Linked DNA regions of Mus musculus. The protein of the gene in region 1 interacts with the protein of each later gene in a biochemical or structural test. Links are inferred from orthologs where the notes say so. Each region holds a gene or a part of one and is shown in the gene's direction. Other genes may lie near its edges.

Region 1 (4,000 bases):
TAGGTGTTCCGGTTGTTGTTATTGTGATAAAACACTGACCAAAGCCAACTTAGTGGTGTTACTTCATCTTATAGGTTTCAGTCCATCATTGAGGGAAGTCAGAGCAGGGACCTGGAGTAGGAATGGAAGCACAGACCATAAAGGGACTCTGCTTACCTGCTTGCTCTCCATGGCTTGTTCAGCTTACTTCTTAGACAACCCAAGACACCTGCCCAGAAGTAGCTCCACTCACAGAAGGCTGGCCTCTCCCACATTAACCCTCAATCAAGAATGTGGCCGGAAGACACGCCCACAGGCCCATATAATGGAAGCAACATCTCAGTCTGAGGGTCTCTCTTCCCAGGTGACTCAAGTTTCGTGTCAAGTTGACAAAAGCAAGCTAAGTAGCATCTCCAGTCACTTCACATTGCATGCCACCATCTATTTCAATCTTGGTGATCAATACCACTCAACAACTCTTCTTGATTTACTTATTTTCTGTGTCTTCACTGGAGAGAAAAGTCCAAGCCAAGCTGTACTCTACTCTATAAAATAGGGATTGGCATAGAACCGAGGTACGCTCACGGCAAATATTTACTGGGTTGTTGCTGACAGTTGTTGAGGGAAGGCAGGCTTGCATTGGAAGAAGGAAGAAATTAAGCTTTGTTTAGGGAGTTCCACTCTGTTTATCTCATTATATTCTCACCACAACCTCACAGAAAAGCTCATCTGATTCCCATTTTATTGATGAAGCAACAGGGACCCAATCCTCTGGTGCGGGCTGCCTCTCTCAGTGCCCACAAGCCTGCTCCCAAGGCGGCATCTAGAAACCACGTGCAATCAGGAGGGTGCCTCTGTAGCAGTAACCTCCCGTGCAAAGACCTTCCCTGGGAAGTGGCAGTTGGAAATGAGTTTCCATAATAAACCTCTGTTGCTTGCCCTAAAGCTCAGACATTCTAGGGAGCAGAGAGCCTAAGGAGAGCGCTGCGGGGAGACCAGTGATGGTTATAGACGATGCTGTGGTGATTTAGGAGGGAGTGGCAATTGGGTGCTGAGGGTCCTTTCCTGAGCAGAGCCCACACTGTGGCCAGGTGCAGCCAAGCCACTCTTGCCGGCGCTCGTATCCTTAGTTAGGTGGCGAAATGCTGATGGGCTCTCCTATTCGGGGGAATGCGGTAGTGATGTATAAGGTATGAAAGATGTGGCCTGCAGAGAGCCGGCACTATCTCTACTGCTGCTGCTGCTGCCACCGCTGCCTTTGCTGCCGCCACTACTGCCGCCACTAGAGCTGCCGGGAGTGAGCCTCCCTTCTTCCAGATACCCAGCTCCGTTGCATCTCCCGCTCCCTGGCCCCGCACGGACCTCCCCGCCCCAGGGAACAAAAGCAGAGTCCGGTCGCCCTGTTCTGCAGCCAGAGGATGATGTGTCGAGAGGGCTGAGCAGAGTGTGGTCTTCAGCGGCTGGAAGGTAGGAGAGGGTGTTGCGCCTGGCGGCCGCGGCGTGGAAAGCTAGGGTGGGCGCGCCAGGGCAAGGATGGCTTCAGTCGTCCAGCCGTCGGGTGGGCGCCTCATGGACCCTGCAGGGTGGTGGTCTGCAGCGCCGCGGCCGCAATGCCCACTGCGGGCCGAGAGTCGCGTTCCCGCAGCCACGAGGGAGCCCCTGCATGGGGACTGGAGGCGGAGGAAAGAAAAGTCTGAAGCCCAAAGCCAAGCGGTGGTGGCTGCAGAAGGGCTGTCCGCAGCTCTTGGACTTGGTGGCGCGTTTCGCCGCGCTGAACGGCCAGGCGGCGGCCGCAGTGTGCGCAAAGTTTTGGGTAGCGCGCAAAGGCGCAGGCAAGGGCCGCGCACAGAGGGGCAAGTTGTGGCCAGAGAGCTAGGGCGACCCTCAGGACAACCAGCGGGGTTTGCCTAAGAAGGGGACAGGTGGATTCTGCTCCCCTCCAGCATAGAGGAGACTGGGTTGGAGCGGCGTCGTTTTAACCCTTTGGTCCCCGGGGGAAAACAACTTCATCCGTGTTGGAGCCTGCTGGACCCTGGCCGCTTTGAGGCTCCTGGTTTGATCCTCCTGTGGCCGTGCGCAATTCTCTGCTTCTGTCGCGTTTTCATTTCTAGCCTCTTAGGTTTTAGCTGGCCTGGGGTCTTTCCCTAGGTCTGTATCCCTTGGACCATTGCGTACATGTTTCTCTATCTCCTCGCTAGATTGACTCTTGGATGCTGCTTTGAAAAATGAAATGATTAATCAATTAGGTTAGTGGTCAATTAGGCATAACCTTGTAGGAAAATAATTATGTCGGGCTCTCAGCTTCCACCGGTGATGAGGTGGGAATCGAGCCCAGGTACGGGGGCTGTTCCCAAATAATAGTACTGGGGCGGGGGCGGAGGGGGGGGCGGTTGCGTTCTGGAATTTAAAATTAAGAGGATGGTGACCACCCACCAAGGTGGTGGGAGTCAACGGAGGAGTGTGTGTGTGTGTGTGTGTGTGTGTGTGTGTGGTGTGGTGTGGTTTGTGTGTGTGTGTCTGTGTGCGTGCGCGCTTGCTTCAGTTTTTGCTGAGAAAATTAACCCTTGACAGACTAGTCTGGGTAGACTTTTCAGGCAACATGGTGTATCCAACGGCTTGAAGGAAAGGTGTGTCCCCTTGCATGCCTGACCCCCTAACACACACACACACACACACACACACACACACACACACACACCCTTCCAAGCGGCTCCCTCTGCGAATCGCATCACCTCGTAGTGGCTTTGCTGAGCTTCGGGAGGCTGAGTTTAGGGGACTGCCTCTTAGTTTCATGTAGAAAGAATCGCATCATTGCAGACAGAGCTTTCTGTACACTGCTTAGCAGAACACATATCTCCCCCGATTGTGTTAAATAAAACCGTTATTAAATGGGAGCAAAAGGGAGACAATCTGTTTCCAGGGCTGGGAAGTTCTGCTGCATAGTGAGGCTTTTTTTTCCCCCTTTCTTTTTTGGAACCACTGGTGGGGTTTGGCACTGCAGTATTACAATACAGCCATATTAAAAAGGTCTTCAGAGCTTAGAGCCCTCCACCGCCGCAGGCTCCTCTTCTATACACTTCCATGATCAACAGCTCCTTTGCAGGGTGCATGCAGTGGATTCCAAAGGCAACGTGCTTTTTAACCCCTTTATGTGTCGAGCTTAAGCTGCTTCTGTCTGTTTAGGCACCTGCTTATAAGGTAGTAGAATCCTATTCAGAAGGCAAAAACCTGGAGGTGCGTCCTCAGATAGACAAGATTTTGCAACAGGTCCTATGTTTGAGGTTTCGAGTAATGGATCCCTTTGGCGTTCGATGTCAGGGCTCCCTTCTCTAGCGGTGATGTGATGAGGGCTGGACCCAGTGGTCTCACAGCGCCTGCAGTGCTGACAGTAGCTGGTTCTGAATTTTATGGCTGCCCCCCTCCCCACACCCCCATTGCTGTGCTGGATGGGAGGAGTAGCTGGCCAGTACACTGTGACAGCAGGGCTACCTCCTTCTGAGTGCAGAGAGAGAGGGTAGGCTGGGGCTGGCTGGGGCTGGCTGGGGCTGGCTGGGGCTGGCTGGGGCGACTTAGCAAATAGGAATTGGTCAGCTAGAAGAGTGCCTAGTGATACTGGTATCCAGGGGCAACTGCTGGCCATAGTGGCTACCCTTCAGCACTTGCAGTTTGTCGAGATTTTTTCCCCCTAGAAGTTGGACTCAGCCAGTTGCTTTGCAGTCATGATATTTGTTGTAGATTCTGGTACTAGCCAAGACCTTGCTCTTTTTTCTAAAATTGACTTTTTTTTTCTTTAATAGTAGGAAGAGATATGGGAAGAGAAAGAGGAGAGAGGGAAAGAAAGATGCAAAGGGGTGGGGGTGGCATGGCATTGGTGAGAAGAGACAGAGGAAGCTCAAGATTTCAGATATGCCAGAGAGTGGGAAAGAGGTGGGGAGAGAAGTCGGGAGAAGGGGATTTGGGGACAGGAACAGAAAACAGTAACATTAGCACCAAGACAACAGTGCTTGTATGAAGCAAGTCT
Region 2 (3,511 bases), on another chromosome or scaffold:
CAAGGGATGGAGACCTCAGTGGCCTATTTGCTCCCTGCTCTTTCTTTTTTAGTGTGTGCGTGCATGCATGTGTGTATATCTATGTGTGTGTGTGTCTGTGTGCATGTGTGTGCCTGCATTTGTGTGTGTGCCTATGTGTCTGTGTGTCTGTGTACATGTGTGTACCTGCATGTGTGTGTGCATGTATGTGCTTTTGTGGATGTGCCTACGTGTGCATGTGTGTGTGCACGTATGTCTGTGTGAATGTGTGTCTGTGTGTATGTGTATATCTGTGTGTGCATGTGTATGTGTGTGCCGTGTGTGCCCATGTGAGTGCGTGTCTGTGTGTGCCTGCATGTATGTGTATGTGTGTGTGTGTGTGTGTGTGTGTGTGTGTGCCTGAGTGCCTGCATGTGTGCAGTGTGCATTTGCCAGTGCAGGCATGCACATGCTGTGGTGAAATGTATGACAGTCCGGGGAAAACTCTCAGAAATTGGCTTTCTCTTTCCTCACTGGGTTCTGAGGATCAGGCTTAGGTGGCAACACCCACCAGGCCATCTTGCTGAACCCATCTCCTACTCCTAACACTGAGTCTCCTTTCTCGGCAGCCGAGTTCAAGTGCCGCCCAGGCCAGTTCCAGTGCTCCACCGGCATCTGCACCAACCCTGCCTTCATCTGTGATGGGGACAATGACTGCCAAGACAATAGTGATGAGGCCAATTGCGGTAAGGAGCTGCCTAGATACCAACCATTCCTTCCGCAGCACTTGGGGGTTCAGAGAGTGAGGATGTGCCAGCCTGCAGCAGCTTTCTCTCTAGGCTACATTTCTGGGCTTAGGACCGCAGTCCACCCATCCTCTACAAGGGACAGGGAGGCACCTGCCTGCCCGCCCTGAGTTCCCTCCTTCTCCCTCTCCCTCTCCCTCTCCTTCTCCCTCTCCCAGACATTCACGTCTGCTTGCCCAGCCAATTCAAGTGCACCAACACCAACCGCTGCATTCCTGGCATCTTCCGTTGCAATGGGCAGGACAACTGCGGGGACGGCGAGGATGAGCGGGATTGCCGTATGTGCCAGGTTCTGGGAAGTGGGTGGGGGACGTAGCTGGCACACACCGTTGTTGCCCACTGCTTCCCATAGAGGCGCTGAGTTAGCTCTATTAGCGGGGGACATCAGTCACATTGGACATTTCCTGGTTTGCTCGTAAAAACACTGTGCTCGGTATGGACAGTCTGCAGATCCAGGCTGGGGATAATCTATTCCTTCCTGACTGAGACCAGGGCCAGGCTTTCTGGGGAGCGCGTGGGGGACCAAAGCTGTGAGGAGATAAAGGGTAAGGTCCTCGTTCTCTGTTCCATCTTGCAGCTGAGGTGACCTGCGCCCCCAACCAGTTCCAGTGCTCCATCACCAAGCGCTGCATCCCTCGCGTCTGGGTCTGTGACAGGGATAATGACTGTGTGGACGGCAGTGATGAGCCTGCCAACTGTAGTGAGTTGTCCGTCGCCCCTGGGCCATCCTTCCTCACGGCCTCTGTGGCTCCATTACCCAGGCAGACAGACCCCTCCCTCGGCTGCCGTACCCTTGCCCAGTGGCTCTCTGGTGGGGACGACTCCTCCTCACCCATGCCGATGCCTTGCAGCCCAAATGACCTGTGGAGTGGATGAGTTCCGCTGCAAGGATTCTGGCCGCTGCATCCCCGCGCGCTGGAAGTGTGACGGAGAAGATGACTGTGGGGATGGTTCAGATGAGCCCAAGGAAGAGTGTGGTAAGCCCAGCCATCTTGAGAGGATGGGTGTTTGGGGTTCTGGGTAGAAAGAAGTTCAGTGGTTGACCTCTCTGGGCGGAGCCTCGACGTGACCCAGCGTGGGGCTCTTGTGGACCCCATAGAGCTGACACGGGAAGGAAGCTTCCCCTGCAGTGCCCACCACCTCTGAATCCTGCTCCTCTCCCTCTCTGCCCCTCAGAAGAGAACTGTGCAGAATCTCTACCCTCCTGTTCACCTGTCCCACCCCCCCAAATCAGCTGCCTTCCCCAAACACTTTGCTGGCCTTCCCCAGAACCTCCTGTAGATACCACACGGCAATTATCACTGCCTGAGCCCCAGAGCAATCTCTTTCGGGGGGCAATAACCACCTTCTCTCTGCCGCCGGTCTCACTTGTCTACCCTAGACTCTAACATCTGCCGCCCACTCCACCCCTGACCGCCCCAATATCTGCCTCCACATCTTGCCTCCCCCAGATGAGCGCACCTGTGAGCCATACCAGTTCCGCTGCAAAAACAACCGCTGTGTCCCAGGCCGTTGGCAATGTGACTACGACAACGACTGCGGAGATAACTCGGACGAGGAGAGCTGCAGTATGTCCTACGCCTTACCCTGCCCCATCATTTCCTTTCCCAGGCCTTGGCATCTCCCTCCTCAGCACCTCACCCCTTCTAACCCCCACCCCGCGCAAGAGGGTGGCCTCCAAGGGCAAGGGGTCAGGCACCCCTCAGCCGCGCTCTACCCTACTCTATGTCCTTGTACTTGAGCTTGTGACATTTCATCTCATCTCATGTTTCTCTCCATTTTCACACTGTCCTCTTGGGGTTGCAGAGGTAGGTGTCTCTGGTGTACCCCTGTTCCTGCCAGCTCTGCCTCTGCCTGGAGCCCCGCCCATCCCTGTGCTGTGCTTTTCTGCCCACCGTCCTTAACTGGCCTCTTCCCCAGACCTGGCGCTTGTCTCGGTGGTCTTGTTCTCCCCTCCCTCCCCTAAGTGATCTGTCCTAAGGACAGGACCAGGGACCCGTGCCCTCTCCCATGTGTCTGTACCTAATAGGATAAGTGTGAGTACCCTCCTGACCCAGCCAGTCTCGTGAGGACAGCCAGTTAAACACTGTCCGCCATTGGTTGAGTGTCTCAATCATTACACCAGTCGGCTGTGGCCTCTTCACAGACGGACGTAGGGATGAGCCTTGTGCTTGGGAGTTAGTATTTCTGAGGGCTGGAGATGCCCTGTGCCCACCCTGCTGGGACCTGTCTCTCCTCAGCACCTCGGCCCTGCTCTGAGAGTGAGTTTTCCTGTGCCAATGGCCGCTGCATCGCTGGGCGCTGGAAGTGTGATGGGGACCATGACTGTGCCGACGGCTCAGACGAGGTGAGGAGAGCTCGAGGAAAGGGGTGGTCTCGGAAGAATTAGGGCAGGACCCCAAGGGTCTGATTGGGCTGCTGGTCCCCATGCCCACAGAAAGACTGCACCCCCCGCTGTGATATGGACCAGTTCCAGTGCAAGAGTGGCCACTGCATCCCCCTGCGCTGGCGCTGTGACGCGGATGCTGACTGTATGGACGGCAGTGACGAGGAAGCCTGTGGCACTGGGGGTGAGTGAGCCCCTTCATCCTGGTGCCTCCACCCTCCCTGCCTTCCCCAGCCCACTGTGTGGCCCAGTTTAATCTTTTAATTCAGCCATTTGTTGGTACTGCAACAAACCCTTATTAAGCATATACTGCAAGCCAGGCATAGACCTAGTGTTGGAGCAGTAGACAAGACTCAGGCTC
Region 3 (3,954 bases), about 4.2 Mb from region 1:
AGGAATCACAGCTTCCACGATTGCTTGCTTGCTTTCTCTCTCTTTCCCTTTCTTTCTTTCTTTCTTTCTTTCTTTCTTTCTTTCTTTCTTTCTTTCTTTCTCTCTCTCTCTCTCTCTCTCTCTCTTTCTCTCTTTCTCTCTTTCTCTCTTTCTCTCTTTCTTTCTTTCTTTCTTTCTTTCTTTCTTTCTTTCTTTCTTTCTTTCTTTCTTTCTTTCTTTCTTTCTTTCTTCCTTTTTTTTTTTCTGAAGAGAGAGGGCCTATTTAACACTGGGCCTTGGCACCCTCGCGCGGGCCTGGTTTACAACCCGTGCCCAAGAATCACACTCTGAGATTGTTGTGCTGCTGGGCCAGGCTCACCGGCAGGTGGCTGAAATCCAGTCTAAGCGTTGCCCTTCTGACAAGGAAGAGTAGGGGAGGTGGGGTCGCACTGCTAGAGGAGGGGCCTTCTTTGTGCAGAGGCTAGTGGAGCCCAGAGACACTAGATGTGCTGCCTCTGGCGGCAAGGATGACACATCTGGGCCTCCACAGTCCTTGCCCTTCTCTGCAGCAGCAAGGGTTACCTTGCCATGTCTTCAGGGCCCTTGATCTGCTCCTCTGCGGGGTCCAACAGAGAAGGATGAATATGGATAACAGTCTGTGCACCAGACACTCACCTCTCTCAGGATCACACAGTGATAATCACAGATGCACACGGTCGCAGAAAGCGACTCATCTAATCTGAAGCTATGACAGGTCTTGCCCAGCACCCCTAGATTCTCCCTGGCAATGCTTTCAGCCTTCCCGCGCTCTGCGCGTTCACTGCAACGGCTTGTGAGTCTCCTTCTCCCGAGCTCGGGCTCTCCTCCATACGCCTCCTTCTCTCACCCTCTTGCCACCTCCACGGGGAAACCAGGGGGGCCAGAGCCTAGCCGGGCTCGTCCTAGCGTCTACAGCTCTTAGCACCTGCGCGCACACAGAGCAGGATCATGGGGCTCGGACCGAGAGAGGAGGGGACAAGGACAGGCGGGGGAGGAGAAGAGGCGGCGGCGGGAGGAGCGTGGGGCGGAGGCGGCGGCGGGAGGGAGCGCGCGCGCCGGCGGCGGCTGCCCAGGGCCGGGGCCGCGCGCCCAGCCTGAGCCCGCCCCGCCGCCGAGCGTCACCGAACCTGCTTGAAATGCAGCCGGGGAGCCGGGGCGGGCGGCAGCGGTGGTGGTGGCGGCGGCGGCAGCGGCAGCCCCGGCGCCGCGGCAAGGACTTGGCGGGCTGAGGCGCGGCGGCGGCGCGGGGGTCTCGGGGCGCGGCGGCCGGAGCCCCGGGCCCGCTATGGGCCGCCCAGAACTGGGCGCGCTCCGGCCGCTGGCGCTGTTGCTGTTGCTGCTGCTGCAGCTTCAGCATCTCTCCGCAGCGGATCCGCTGCCGGGCGGCCAAGGTGCGTACGGCGCTTCCCGGGCCGGCTCGCAGCCGCCAACCAACAAAGCGCGGCCGGCGGTGGGGGTTGCTGTACGGCGAGGTCCCGATAGAGAGGCTCCGGGGACCCTAGCTCCCTGGATTTGCCTTGGACCTCCTCCCCGCTACCCCCACGGTTTTGGTTACCGAAGCTCTACCCCAGCTCCGGGCACCCTCTTAATGGGGGATGGGCGCCGGGCACCCCCCCCCCGGCCCGTGAACTTTGCGGGGGGTAGTCCTTCAGGGTCTGGGGTTTGGTTTAATTTGACACGCGCGCTCCATAGCGGCGATGAGCGAAGTGGTACAGTCTTTTCTGACAATGCGTTTCCGGGGACCCCTGTGGGCCGAGGAGACTGACAGGTTGTGAAGGGACTGAGCCCCTGCACCGGGTGCGTGTCGCCAGTGTGCGGGGCTTCCCGCAGACTAGGTTTGTGTGGACCTGACTTGGCGTTGTGTGTAAGGGTGAATGTGTCTGAAGGCGGGGTATAGCCACGGGCCGTTAAGCGCTTGTCGGGTCTCGCTGTGCCATCAGTCGGTCCTGCAGTGGAGGACCCGTGGCATCCTGTCCTTTCTCGGAATTAAGGTGCTTGGAGATCCAGAGCTCACCGATATCTCCCCCTTTCCCATACCCGCTGGACTTCTCGGCAGCCAGGGCTGCAGGGTGGGGAGCGGGCTCCTGTGCAGTGACCCAGCTCACCGCCCCCAACCCCCGCAGGGCCAGTCAAGGAGTGTGAAGAGGACCAGTTTCGGTGTCGGAACGAGCGCTGCATTCCCTTGGTGTGGAGATGCGATGAGGACAACGACTGCTCGGACAACAGCGACGAGGACGACTGCCGTGAGTCGCGGCGACCAGGGGAGGGGAAACGGGGGGGGGGGGGGATCATGCTCCGCTGCGCACGTGGCTGCATCCGTCATGGGGCCACCTGCCCCAGGCTGGCGGCCTTGTTCTGGGATGGGTGGCTCAGCTGTCGGCGGGAGCTGGGTGGCAGGCGTGTCCTGCTTAGGGTGGAGCCCAGCGCGGCTTGCTGAAGCTACTAGCCCGAGACTGTGGGCGTGGACGCGGCAGCCCCTGCACACCTCTTAGCTCTATGGATCGGATCCCCAATCTGGGCCTCACTGGGAGCGCGCACTTCAAAGTTCCACGCAGCTCGGGCCACGAGGGGCTTTTCCTTGCTCGGTTTTATGAATGAATGGGCTCCCCGGGGCCACTGATTGGCTGCGCAAGGACCACCCCATAGGCCTGTGGCCGGAGCGGCCAATCCTGGGGCTGACGGTGTGCTGTAAAGGGCTCTAGGCCCTGCCCTGGCCCGCCCCGGCCGCACCCCCGCGCGCATCCTCCGGGTGGTAGGCTCAGGTCCTGGTCACAGTCTGCTGCCTTTCTGCCGAGTCACCCTTCAGAGAGCGTTTTCCTCCTGCCAGCCTAGTCTGGGTGTGAGTCATGGGGCCAACAGCAAGGAGGGGCTCAGGAGGAAGAGTGTGTTTCCTGGAAGCCACCGGAGCAACGGCAGTGAAGGCAGGCCAAATGCTAACCCCACTGCCTTTGCTGAGCGTGGCCTTTGTACACCCTGTGCAACCGGTGGAAGTTCCCCCTTGTGCGGGCGCGTGAGGGGTGTCTTTGGGGCCAGCGGCAATGGAGTCAGCAGGCGTTCTCTGCTGTGAAAGGAATTTAGTTCCTGGTACCAAGAACCTACACTCTTCTAGCCACGTCTTCCTAGGAGGCCTTTCAGTTGTCATTACAGAGGCCTGCTGTCTGCCTGCCGATGTTAGGTGTACAGGATCAGGCCGGCCGGCTCTGCAGTGTCGGAACACAGTGACAGAATGTGGAGGACACCAGGTGGGCACACACCAAGCATTCAGGAACGGGAGGCTGAGCAACAACTCGGGAGCAGTCTGTTAAGTCCTTGAGGCTTCCTGGTTTAACATTTTTTTGGGGTGGGGTACATTTGTAAAGCATGTATGTGAAGATAAGAGTAAAACTTTCGGGAGTCAATTCTCTCCTACTTTGTTGGGTCTCTGCCTCCAACTTAGCATCCTCCAGCTTGTCTGCGATGCCTCCACCCGCCCAGCCGTCTTATTGGTTCTCATGGAGCTCACAGGCAAGCAGAGATCTTCCTTGAGTTCTTTTGACTGTTCACTTGCTGGTCAGCCTGGCAGTTCTCTCTGGTCTAGCTTAGACCAGACTTTCGGGCATCAGAGCCTGACTGCCTCAGTTTCCCATTTGAGTTGTAACTACAGCCTGTGGTGGACTAACACTCTTCACAGAGGTTTATGCTACAGATGAAAACAGGCTCCAGGGTTGAGTTACCTGCTCTGTGGCTACTGAGTTGCCAAGTGGAAGCCTGGTCTTAGGCATCTTCTACCAGAGTTCTTAGCCTAATCCTTGTTCTATGCTATGGCTGTGGTTGGGTAAAATATCAAGAGGGGATTTCATGCCTAGGAGTTGTTCTGGTTTTCTTAGAGGGGTGCACACAGGACAGGGTGCAGAAATAGAAACCTTGTATCGTATCCCCTTAGGTCTTTAAAACACT
Region 4 (3,975 bases), on another chromosome or scaffold:
CCCCGAGGGGAACCATAGAGTTCTCCCGAATTCCTGGTGTTTCTCTCATTATTGGCATTGCGGAGAAAACAACCCCTCCCCCAAGTTTTGTTTCGAAATGAACAGAACTGTAGGAGACGCTGTCTGGCATGACTGACACCTGACGCTTGGGGAGCCAGATAGTTATGGCCTCCAGAGCAATGATAGAATCTCCTCTCTGACTATAAAAACACAAGCTACCCCATCTGGGTAGCCTGCACCCTGTCAGGGGGAGGAGGGCCCCGAGGCAGCTTAGCGAGTTCACACCGAGGCAAGGAGGTCAGGCGGCTTGGCTCTGTCCAGCTTTTTTCTGGTCCTCCCTCCCTCCCTCCCTCCCTCCCTCCCTCCCTCCCTCCCTCCCTCCCTCCCTCCCTCCCTCCCTCTTCCCTTCTTTTTGAGACAGGTTCTTTCTACATAGCCCAGGCTGTCCTGGAACTGTGTGGACCAGGTTGGCCTCAAACTCACAGAGATCCACTTGTCTCTGTCTCCCGAGTGTTGAGATGAAAGACCCGCACTAAAACACCCTCTGCCTTTTCTTTTCTTCCCCCTTCTTTCTCTTCCCCTTTCCTTGCTCCCCTTTCCCCATTTGTTCTTTTTCTTTCCCTTTTCATCTTTTCTCTTTCTTTCTTTCTTTCTTTCTTTCTTTTTTTAGTCGCTGCTCTTGACTTCCCCCCTTTCTCCATTCCTTCCCACCGGTGATAACGTTTTAGAGTTTGTGTCCGTGGCCAATTTCTTCCTCGCCCCGTCTAGCCATCCCTCTGAGTGGCGAGGCCAAGCCCTTGCTCCGAATGTGAGCAGCGGCGATTATTGTCAGTGATTGAATAGGACCTTGGAGTGTGTGTGCTCGTGCGAGCGAGGGGTGGGCGCTCGCCAGCGTGGGAGGCAGTTTTGTGTTCCCGGAGCCTGTGCTCCTGGGTGAGAGCATGCACGAGCGAGCGCGCTTGTGGAGTGTGCATGTGCTAGCGCGCAAGTGTCCGAGGGCCCACTCCTCCCAGAGTCGCAAAGTGCAGGGGGCGGGCCGGGCAGTAGGGGGCCTGGCCCACTGGATTCCCGCATGCTAGTTCCGGGGCGGTCTGGTCTAGAGGGCTTTATGCACTGTCTGGAGGGTGGGGACTGGCGCGGGTAGAAAACGGGATGCCTCAGGCGCCGGGACCGGCTTTCTGCCTCTAGGAGCCAGCGACTGCTGCTGAGCAAGACTCCTGTTCCGGAGCGGAGTAACCTGCCTGTGCCCGCTGCGACGCGCGCCCACCTCCCGGGGAAGGAACGGCGAGGCCCGGGGCCGTCTCCGCGATGGAGCGCGGGGCCGCGGCGGCGGCATGGATGCTGCTGCTGGCGATCGCTGCCTGCCTGGCGCCAGTCAGTGGCCAAGGTAAGCGGTCACCTGCCCGCGCTACGCCACCATAGTCGCTGCGGAGCTGAGCCGGACGAGGGTGGGCGGCTGCGGAGCTGCTCCGGCTGAGCGCTCCGGTGACCCCAGGAGAGATGACTGCAGCGCCGCTTCTTGTACTGGTTGGGGAACGCGGACGCACCGGTTTCGGTGACAGCTCGTCCCACGGCTATCGTGCCTTTGTTCCCACGGGAATTAGTCCTGACCCTCAAGGCTTTCCAGGATGGAACCTGGAGTACGAGGGTCTCCCGCGTGGGTCTGCAGCTTTCTTCTGGCTGGGGCGGGGCGGTCCTCCACGCCGCTCCCAGCGCCGCTTTCCACCTGCAGCGTCCAGCCGGCGCGGGAGATCCGATCCCACCGTGCGCCAGGGGCCGCCGGCCAGAGCCTCCTTCCATCAGTGGCGAAACCCTGTCCCGCGGTGACCCCCATGAGACCGCATCTCATGATACCGATCGTTTACGAGCCCAGATAAGGCGGGGAGGTGGGATTGGCAGAGGAAGCGGCTGATACACTAGAGTACTTTTCTTGAAGGCTTTCCCTTTCCTACCCAGAGCGGGTGCTTTTGTGTTGATGAATGGAGCTGGTTAGCTGCGCCTGAGTTTGGGGACTGGAATGCAGAAAGTTTCTAAAGTGACTACAAACTTTTTCAAGTTGTCCGGGAGGTTTTTTTTTTTTCCTTCCCCGTGAAACAGGGAGAGAGAGGAAAGGGAGGAAATTATTTAGAATAGAAAACTATAAGAGAAGAAAATGAGAGACAAGTTGAAAGGAATGGAGAAAACGGGAAAGCAAAGTGAGGAAGGAGGGAGGGAGGGAGGGAGGGAGGGAGGGAGAGAGAGAGAGAGAGAGAGAGAGAGAGAGAGAGAGAGAGAGAGAGAGACTGACTCAAGGAGAACCCACGAGCTCTCTCCCTGGCTTTCGTTGCTAGGTAGCAGCCTGGTGCTGCGTGTGACCGACCACCAGACAGACAGAACGGACGCTGCAGCCTCTGCAGGGACTAATCTGTCTGTGGGGATGGGCCAGTCCCCACTTCCCCTCCCGCTCTTTCCCGTCGGACAACTTAATTGCCCTACAATAAAAATGAAACCCCTATTGTTGCAGGATTAGTCAAAGCAATAAATTGATTTCCCTAGATCACATATTGGGGTTGATGGGTGAGGACTGTGGAAGCCCCCATTTATAGAGAGGAGAGAGGGGAGGGCTTGTGGATGGGCCGTGGCATGTATTCAAATGGTTAATCTGCTTTCTTTCCTCAATTCTTAGCGTAAGCTCCTTAGAGGGAATCAAGTAAGTAATTATACAGCAGCTCCAGGCAGCACCCATCTCAGACTTCCTGGGAAGTTTGGGAGCGCCAACAAATCCACCAGGCTTTGCAAAAATCTTTCGAAAAGGAGGGGTGGGCGGCAAGAGAAGATGTCTAACAGTTCTTCCTTTGAACACCTTTCTACAGTATTGGAAACGCAGAAAGGAGACTTACTGTTATATTGTGTGTGCGCCCGCGGTAGGGAGAGTGCTTAGGGTTATATATCATGCGCTAAATATAGCCCTAGGGTTTAGTGTACTTTTCTGTTCCTGTCTGGAGGGAAAGGTTGCTTACATTCTTGAGCTGATGTCCCTTTACCACCGGAACATGCATTCTTCTCCCTGTTTTTTGGTGTCACCAAATACTGTGTACCTAGATTTCCTCAAGTTCTCATCCATGTGAATTACGGAGAAAAAGTGGGAAGCATTTTTCAAGTTTTTAGCGGATAATGCAATAATCACCTAACATATGGCTGAGAGCACATACAAGCATACATACATGCACACATACACGTGTATGACATGTGTATATATTCTTCAGGAATTTGTTTATTTGTTTGTTTATTTATTTATTTGAGACAGGGTTTCTCTGTAGTCCTGACTGTCCTGGAACTTGCTCTGTTGATTAGGTTGGCCTGGAACTCAGATCTGCCTGCCTCTGCCTCCTGAGTGCTGGGATTGATGGCATGCATCGCCCGCCCTGGCATTCTGGGTAACAAACTAGAGCCCAAGTGTCACCATTTTTAGTTTTGCTATTTGATTATTGTAATTAATTTTTTTTAAAATGAACCAGTGTTTCCATGTTTAGCCCAGGCTGGCCTGAAGTTATGACTCAGGCTGTTTGTGATCTTCTGGTCTCATTTCTTTTCCAAACACACACACAAAATGTAATTTTGCCTTTATTCATGTGTGTGTAAGCGTGCACGCGAGTGCACATATCATAAACATGTGGAAAGTAGTGTGGATCCCAGAATGCAGTTCAAGTGGTCAGGCTTGGCGTCGAGCATTTTCCTGATAAATCATTTTGATAAATGCATTTTGAAGTGATTTTTTTCTTTCCTTTTCATTTTTTAAGAATCTGTCCCCCACTTAAATTCTTTAATCCAATACCAATTTGGTTATGCCTTTTGTGATGATTGTATCTTGAGTGGGACCTGTAATACACAGGCTACATTTGTTTTTGTTTTTTTCTAACTCTGGTCTCTGCAACCTTGTTTGCTGTTGTATTTATTTCAAGGTGGTCTTCTGTTCCTATGCTTGGAATTCTTTTT
Region 5 (4,282 bases), on another chromosome or scaffold:
ACATTGAAAACAAGCTTGTGACGTCTCAGTTAACTATGGAGCCTGTTCATATTGACTATTTATTGACTTCACCTATGTCCCCCACCCATTTCATCAGGTGTAAAGTGACTATGAGCTTTTCAAGCCCCAGGGATACGAAAGTTAGACCATCCCCCTCAAACTTGGTCTGTGGACTGGTACTGGCTGTGATCACGTGTTCACCATGCAGTTTCCGCCCATCTCCTACCCTCTGATTATACACAACAGCATCCACAGTGAGCAGCTTTGAAAGACCCCATCTGCATGTGAGATTATCCATCACAATGAGGCTAAATTACACCGATCAAAATGTACCCTGGCTGAGAATTACCCCCAGGGTCTCCTGGGTACATGAGAACATCTCTCCTAGTAGACTGTCCCCAGAGAACTGCTCAAGAGAACCAAGGTGACATTACAATGCCAGAAGGAAGCTAGGACATGGAATCTGAAATCTGTCAACTTTGATTCATTCGAGGTACAGCAACTTATAAAACAGAAGCACATACACACATATTAACAGGTGAAATAATTTGGAAAAATCTGTGGTATACCACAGAAAGCATCTCAACCAAGGCGATGTGTTCAAGAAAACTGAAGTACACTAAGAACAAACCATAAACTTAGGTCCTGTCTGGCACCCACCTCCCTCCAATCTATCCTCTCTGGGAGGGTTGACTTCTTTCCCTCCACAATGCTTATAATTGAACGTTACAAACTATACCAAGAATAAATCTACCGGGGTCCCCTTCCTCCAACCAGAAAAAGGTTAAGCTTTTAATTACAGGCCCTCAAACTATCATTTTGTGCAATTAGCAATTAACTCTAATCGTTGATGAGAGAATGCAGAGCTGCGCTGGCAATTTCCCTCCTCCCCATCCCAGACTCGGTTATTTTAGTCTTGTTCTATTACAGAGGACAAGCCACAACCGCGGGAGCGCTCTTGTTCTTTCTCTCTTTCTCTTTCACACACTCTTACTTAAAGCCACATTTAATTTTTAACAAAATGGCATCTCAGCTTGCCATTGAGATGGGACTCCGAACCCCACAGCAGAACAGCGGAGCTTTCGCACCCCTCCTCTTCATCACTTTCAGGTTGGAAAGAAGAGTCCCCCGGAAGATGCTACCTACCGACCTCACTACATCAGCCCTTCCTAGGGGCTCAGGAGAGGGAGGAAAAGGGTTCCTTGCTGCCCCCCAGACCCCTCAACTGCCAGCCCCATCAAGCCTGGAGGCGGTGGCAAGAGCAGCAATAGTTGCATCAGCGCTCCTAGCCAAGGCGCCAGGAGGGTACAGTAGCAACTGTAGGGAGCTAGGGAGCGCACAGCTGCTGCGGCCGCAGGTTCCCTGGATCAGGAAATTAGGACAGGCACCCGGGATTGGAGGTGAGGACGGTGCGCGAGCCAACCAGCGGCCGCCCCGGGTCCCCCGTGAGCCCCGGGCCAACGCGCGGAGCAGTCGAGCCCCTGGAGCCATCCGGATGGCGGCGGCGACAGCCCCAGCCCCAGCCACTCACGCACGCACGCTGCCACTTGCCCCCGCACCCTCCTCACTGCGCGCGGGAGAGCGGTGCGTGCCTGAGCTGCTGGGCTGAGCTCCCCCGCTGGGGTCCCCGCGCCGCTCGGCCGCGCTCCTGCGGCCGCCCGGGTGGTTGCCCCCAAACCGCTCACTTGAGCTGTCCTCGGTGGCGAACGGGCTCCCCGCCCCCTCCTCCCGCGCCGTTCCCTCCCCTCTCCCTCCCCTTCTCTGCAACGCCTGCATTATTTTCCGCCCGCAGGGTCCGCGCGCACACCGCGGCCGCGGCGGGGGAGGTGACCGGGTGGGTGGTTGGGTGGGTGGCTGGCGGGGAGTAGAGTGTGCAAGTTGCAGGGAAAGGGTGCCCGCTCCTTGCGTGCTCTCCGTGCTCCCGGCTCTTCACTCCTTCCCCCTCCTCCTCGTCTCCTCCCTCCCCGCCCCCACCTCCTTCTTCCTCTCCGAAGGGCTGGTAACTTGTTGTGCGGAGCGAACGGCGACAACGACGGCGCGACGGAGGCACCATCCGGGCGGGCAGCATGGGCACGTCCGCGCGCTGGGCGCTGTGGCTGCTGCTCGCGCTGTGCTGGGCGCCCCGGGACAGCGGCGCCACTGCAAGCGGTGAGTGGGGACGCGCCCCTCCGCACTCGGCCCGAAACAAGCCGAGGCGTCCGCGATCGCCGCGTTCTGGGGGACCCCGGGGCTCCTCTTGCCCATCCCCTCCTAGCAGGCGCCTCTCCACGCTCCTCTCCTGCCTCCCCTCCCCACCCGGGTGGCGCCTCTGAGCTGTCAGAGCCGAGGTTACTGGGAGCCAGGCCCGGGGGACGGTGGGGTTTAGGGTGTCCTAAAGCGTCCCTTGAACTTGTTGTCATTCTTCTGTGTCCCCCTTCTTCCCAGAACCTCTGTTTTACATGGTTTTCACCCCCCATTGACAAGGGCTAGGGGATGTGGGCTTTGGAGCCACTGAACAATGGTTCTGCCTCCTCTGCCAGGCGGGCTGTTAGGACCGTGGCAGAGCACGGGGCCTGGAAGCCCGAGTGCGCCCCTCAGACTTAAGCAGGGTTGAGAGCGCACAGTGGGTGAAGGTGGGCGTCTCCGAGGACACCGGGCGCCAGGTGCCGGCCGAGCCGGGAGTCCTCGCGCTGCCGTGAGCAAGCGCACGTTCGGTGGGCGGCAGCCTGGAGGCCGAGCCATGACAAGTACGCAGCCTGCGCCCGGGACTGAGACTCCCCAGGCGCCGGGCCGTCTCTCGGGCTCCAAGAGTGGCTTTCAACTGGACTGTCCTCCGAGTGCTTTTCTTTCTCCCATCCCCGGGGATTCCGCAGCTACTGCGGCTTTTAAAAACCTCTGGGGTCTCTGAGATAACTGAACGGGGGAGGGGAGTGGGATCAAGACTTAATCAGGTTACTTTGCCGAGCCTCATTCTGGGCAACACTTTCCCCCAGAGAAACTGAGTCCCAGTGTAGTGACTGTAATTAGCCTTTATTCTGCACAATACGGCCCGAAGGTGTGGAGCTGGAGCGTGTGACTGGAGCTTGGGGAGGGCGGGGTGACTACTGTCGAGTCCCAGGGGGTCGGCACACTGGCTTTGGAGCCCTGTGTGTTTCCAGCACCCCATCTTGGGTCACACAACTTTCCAGAGCAGGTGATAAGATGCCTTCCTAACAAGGTCCGCGTCTGATCCTTGGCGGGCCACTGAAGAGGTCTTAGAGGTCTTAAGAGGTGACACCAAAGTGCTTGCTTGCCAACCAGCTCTAGGTAATTAGGGCAGAACGCTGTCCCAGCTCTAAATAGTCCACAATCCACATCTCCTGTCGCCGGGTAGCTTAGAAGGCCCGCCTGCGTGCGGTCACGTGTGTCCTGGAGTGAGAGCGAACTTTCAAGTGTGTGGTCAAGCTGTCTGTCGAGCTATGCTGGGGTGTTTAAGTCTCCCAGCGCCCCTGGGCCTTTGGTTCCGCTGTCCGGAGCGTGAGAAGCTGGGCAGGGCTTTTCTGCCCCATGCGATTGGCTGGTAGCTGGATTGCGTTTAGCTTGGTCACGTGTCTACGCGGAGTTAATTGAGCTGCCCCAGCTGGGTTACCTTTAAGATCAGCCAGGCTCAGAGGGGCCTTTCCCTCTGGCGCTTTCTCCAGCTGCACTCTGAAAAGGGCCCAGGTATCGTGACGCTAGAATCCTTCCTGTGACAAACCTCTGTGCCCAGAGAAGCCCTGCTTAACAGAACATTTCAGACGCTGACATTAATCATTAATGGATGAGTAATGTTAACTTATTAAACCATCTCTCAGAAGAGTGACTTGACTCGGGCTATATATTTTGTAGTATTTCAAAACACGAATGCATAAAATCCATTACTGACTGTGATCCGGGGAGTTGGGAGAAAGGAGTCTCCTTAGCTGCAGAACCTTTTGGATTCTTGGAATGTTTAAAGTGCTAACTTTCCATCAGGTGCTGTTTTTTACGGAGTGGTCGGAAAGCATCCAGACTGCTTCAAGGAGCTAGTCCAACACCAGAAGTTGTTGAGCTGGGATCAGGAAAGTGGGGATAGCCTTTGTTTCTCCTTTACTGCAAGTGGGCTATGGTGGTGCTGTAAAAAGTGGAAGAGAGAACCAGGCACAAACCTAAGCAGCCAGAGTGGGAGAGGCAGTTCTTTCTGAACTACAGCAGACTTGGAGTTGGTTGACCATAAGTGAACCCACAGTAGTGTCCTAAGTTCAAAGTCCCAAAACATGCAGACTGATTTTTCTGCCCCAGACCT

Evidence for each region.
Region 2: the proteins of Dab1 (region 1) and Lrp1 form a complex in vitro, tested with the Homo sapiens proteins (2 studies listed by BioGRID). The link is inferred for Mus musculus from reciprocal best matches to the Homo sapiens genes DAB1 and LRP1.
Region 3: the proteins of Dab1 (region 1) and Lrp8 form a complex in vitro, tested with the Homo sapiens proteins (2 studies listed by BioGRID). The link is inferred for Mus musculus from reciprocal best matches to the Homo sapiens genes DAB1 and LRP8.
Region 4: the proteins of Dab1 (region 1) and Lrp2 form a complex in vitro, tested with the Homo sapiens proteins (2 studies listed by BioGRID). The link is inferred for Mus musculus from reciprocal best matches to the Homo sapiens genes DAB1 and LRP2.
Region 5: the proteins of Dab1 (region 1) and Vldlr form a complex in vitro, tested with the Homo sapiens proteins (2 studies listed by BioGRID). The link is inferred for Mus musculus from reciprocal best matches to the Homo sapiens genes DAB1 and VLDLR.

Annotation. Positions count from the first base shown.
Region 1 is NC_000070.6:103,618,300-103,622,299, forward strand, and holds the start of Dab1 (disabled homolog 1), read left to right. Parts: upstream 1-1,200; 5' UTR 1,201-1,446; intron 1,447-4,000. UniProt on the Homo sapiens protein: Signaling adapter of the reelin-mediated signaling pathway, which regulates the migration and differentiation of postmitotic neurons during brain development.
Region 2 is NC_000076.6:127,548,138-127,551,648, reverse strand, and holds part of Lrp1 (prolow-density lipoprotein receptor-related protein 1 precursor), read left to right. Parts: intron 1-587; coding exon 588-704; intron 705-922; coding exon 923-1,042; intron 1,043-1,341; coding exon 1,342-1,464; intron 1,465-1,615; coding exon 1,616-1,741; intron 1,742-2,215; coding exon 2,216-2,332; intron 2,333-3,004; coding exon 3,005-3,111; intron 3,112-3,201; coding exon 3,202-3,334; intron 3,335-3,511. UniProt on the Homo sapiens protein: Endocytic receptor involved in endocytosis and in phagocytosis of apoptotic cells. Required for early embryonic development. Involved in cellular lipid homeostasis.
Region 3 is NC_000070.6:107,801,110-107,805,063, forward strand, and holds the start of Lrp8 (low-density lipoprotein receptor-related protein 8 isoform a precursor), read left to right. Parts: upstream 1-1,149; 5' UTR 1,150-1,303; coding exon 1,304-1,409; intron 1,410-1,775; exon of another isoform or gene 1,776-2,009; intron 2,010-2,141; coding exon 2,142-2,261; intron 2,262-3,954. UniProt on the Homo sapiens protein: Cell surface receptor for Reelin (RELN) and apolipoprotein E (apoE)-containing ligands. LRP8 participates in transmitting the extracellular Reelin signal to intracellular signaling processes, by binding to DAB1 on its cytoplasmic tail.
Region 4 is NC_000068.7:69,583,227-69,587,201, reverse strand, and holds the start of Lrp2 (low-density lipoprotein receptor-related protein 2 precursor), read left to right. Parts: upstream 1-1,172; 5' UTR 1,173-1,308; coding exon 1,309-1,387; intron 1,388-3,975. UniProt on the Homo sapiens protein: Multiligand endocytic receptor. Acts together with CUBN to mediate endocytosis of high-density lipoproteins. Mediates receptor-mediated uptake of polybasic drugs such as aprotinin, aminoglycosides and polymyxin B.
Region 5 is NC_000085.6:27,215,549-27,219,830, forward strand, and holds the start of Vldlr (very low-density lipoprotein receptor isoform b precursor), read left to right. Parts: upstream 1-1,471; 5' UTR 1,472-2,066; coding exon 2,067-2,148; intron 2,149-4,282. UniProt on the Homo sapiens protein: Multifunctional cell surface receptor that binds VLDL and transports it into cells by endocytosis and therefore plays an important role in energy metabolism.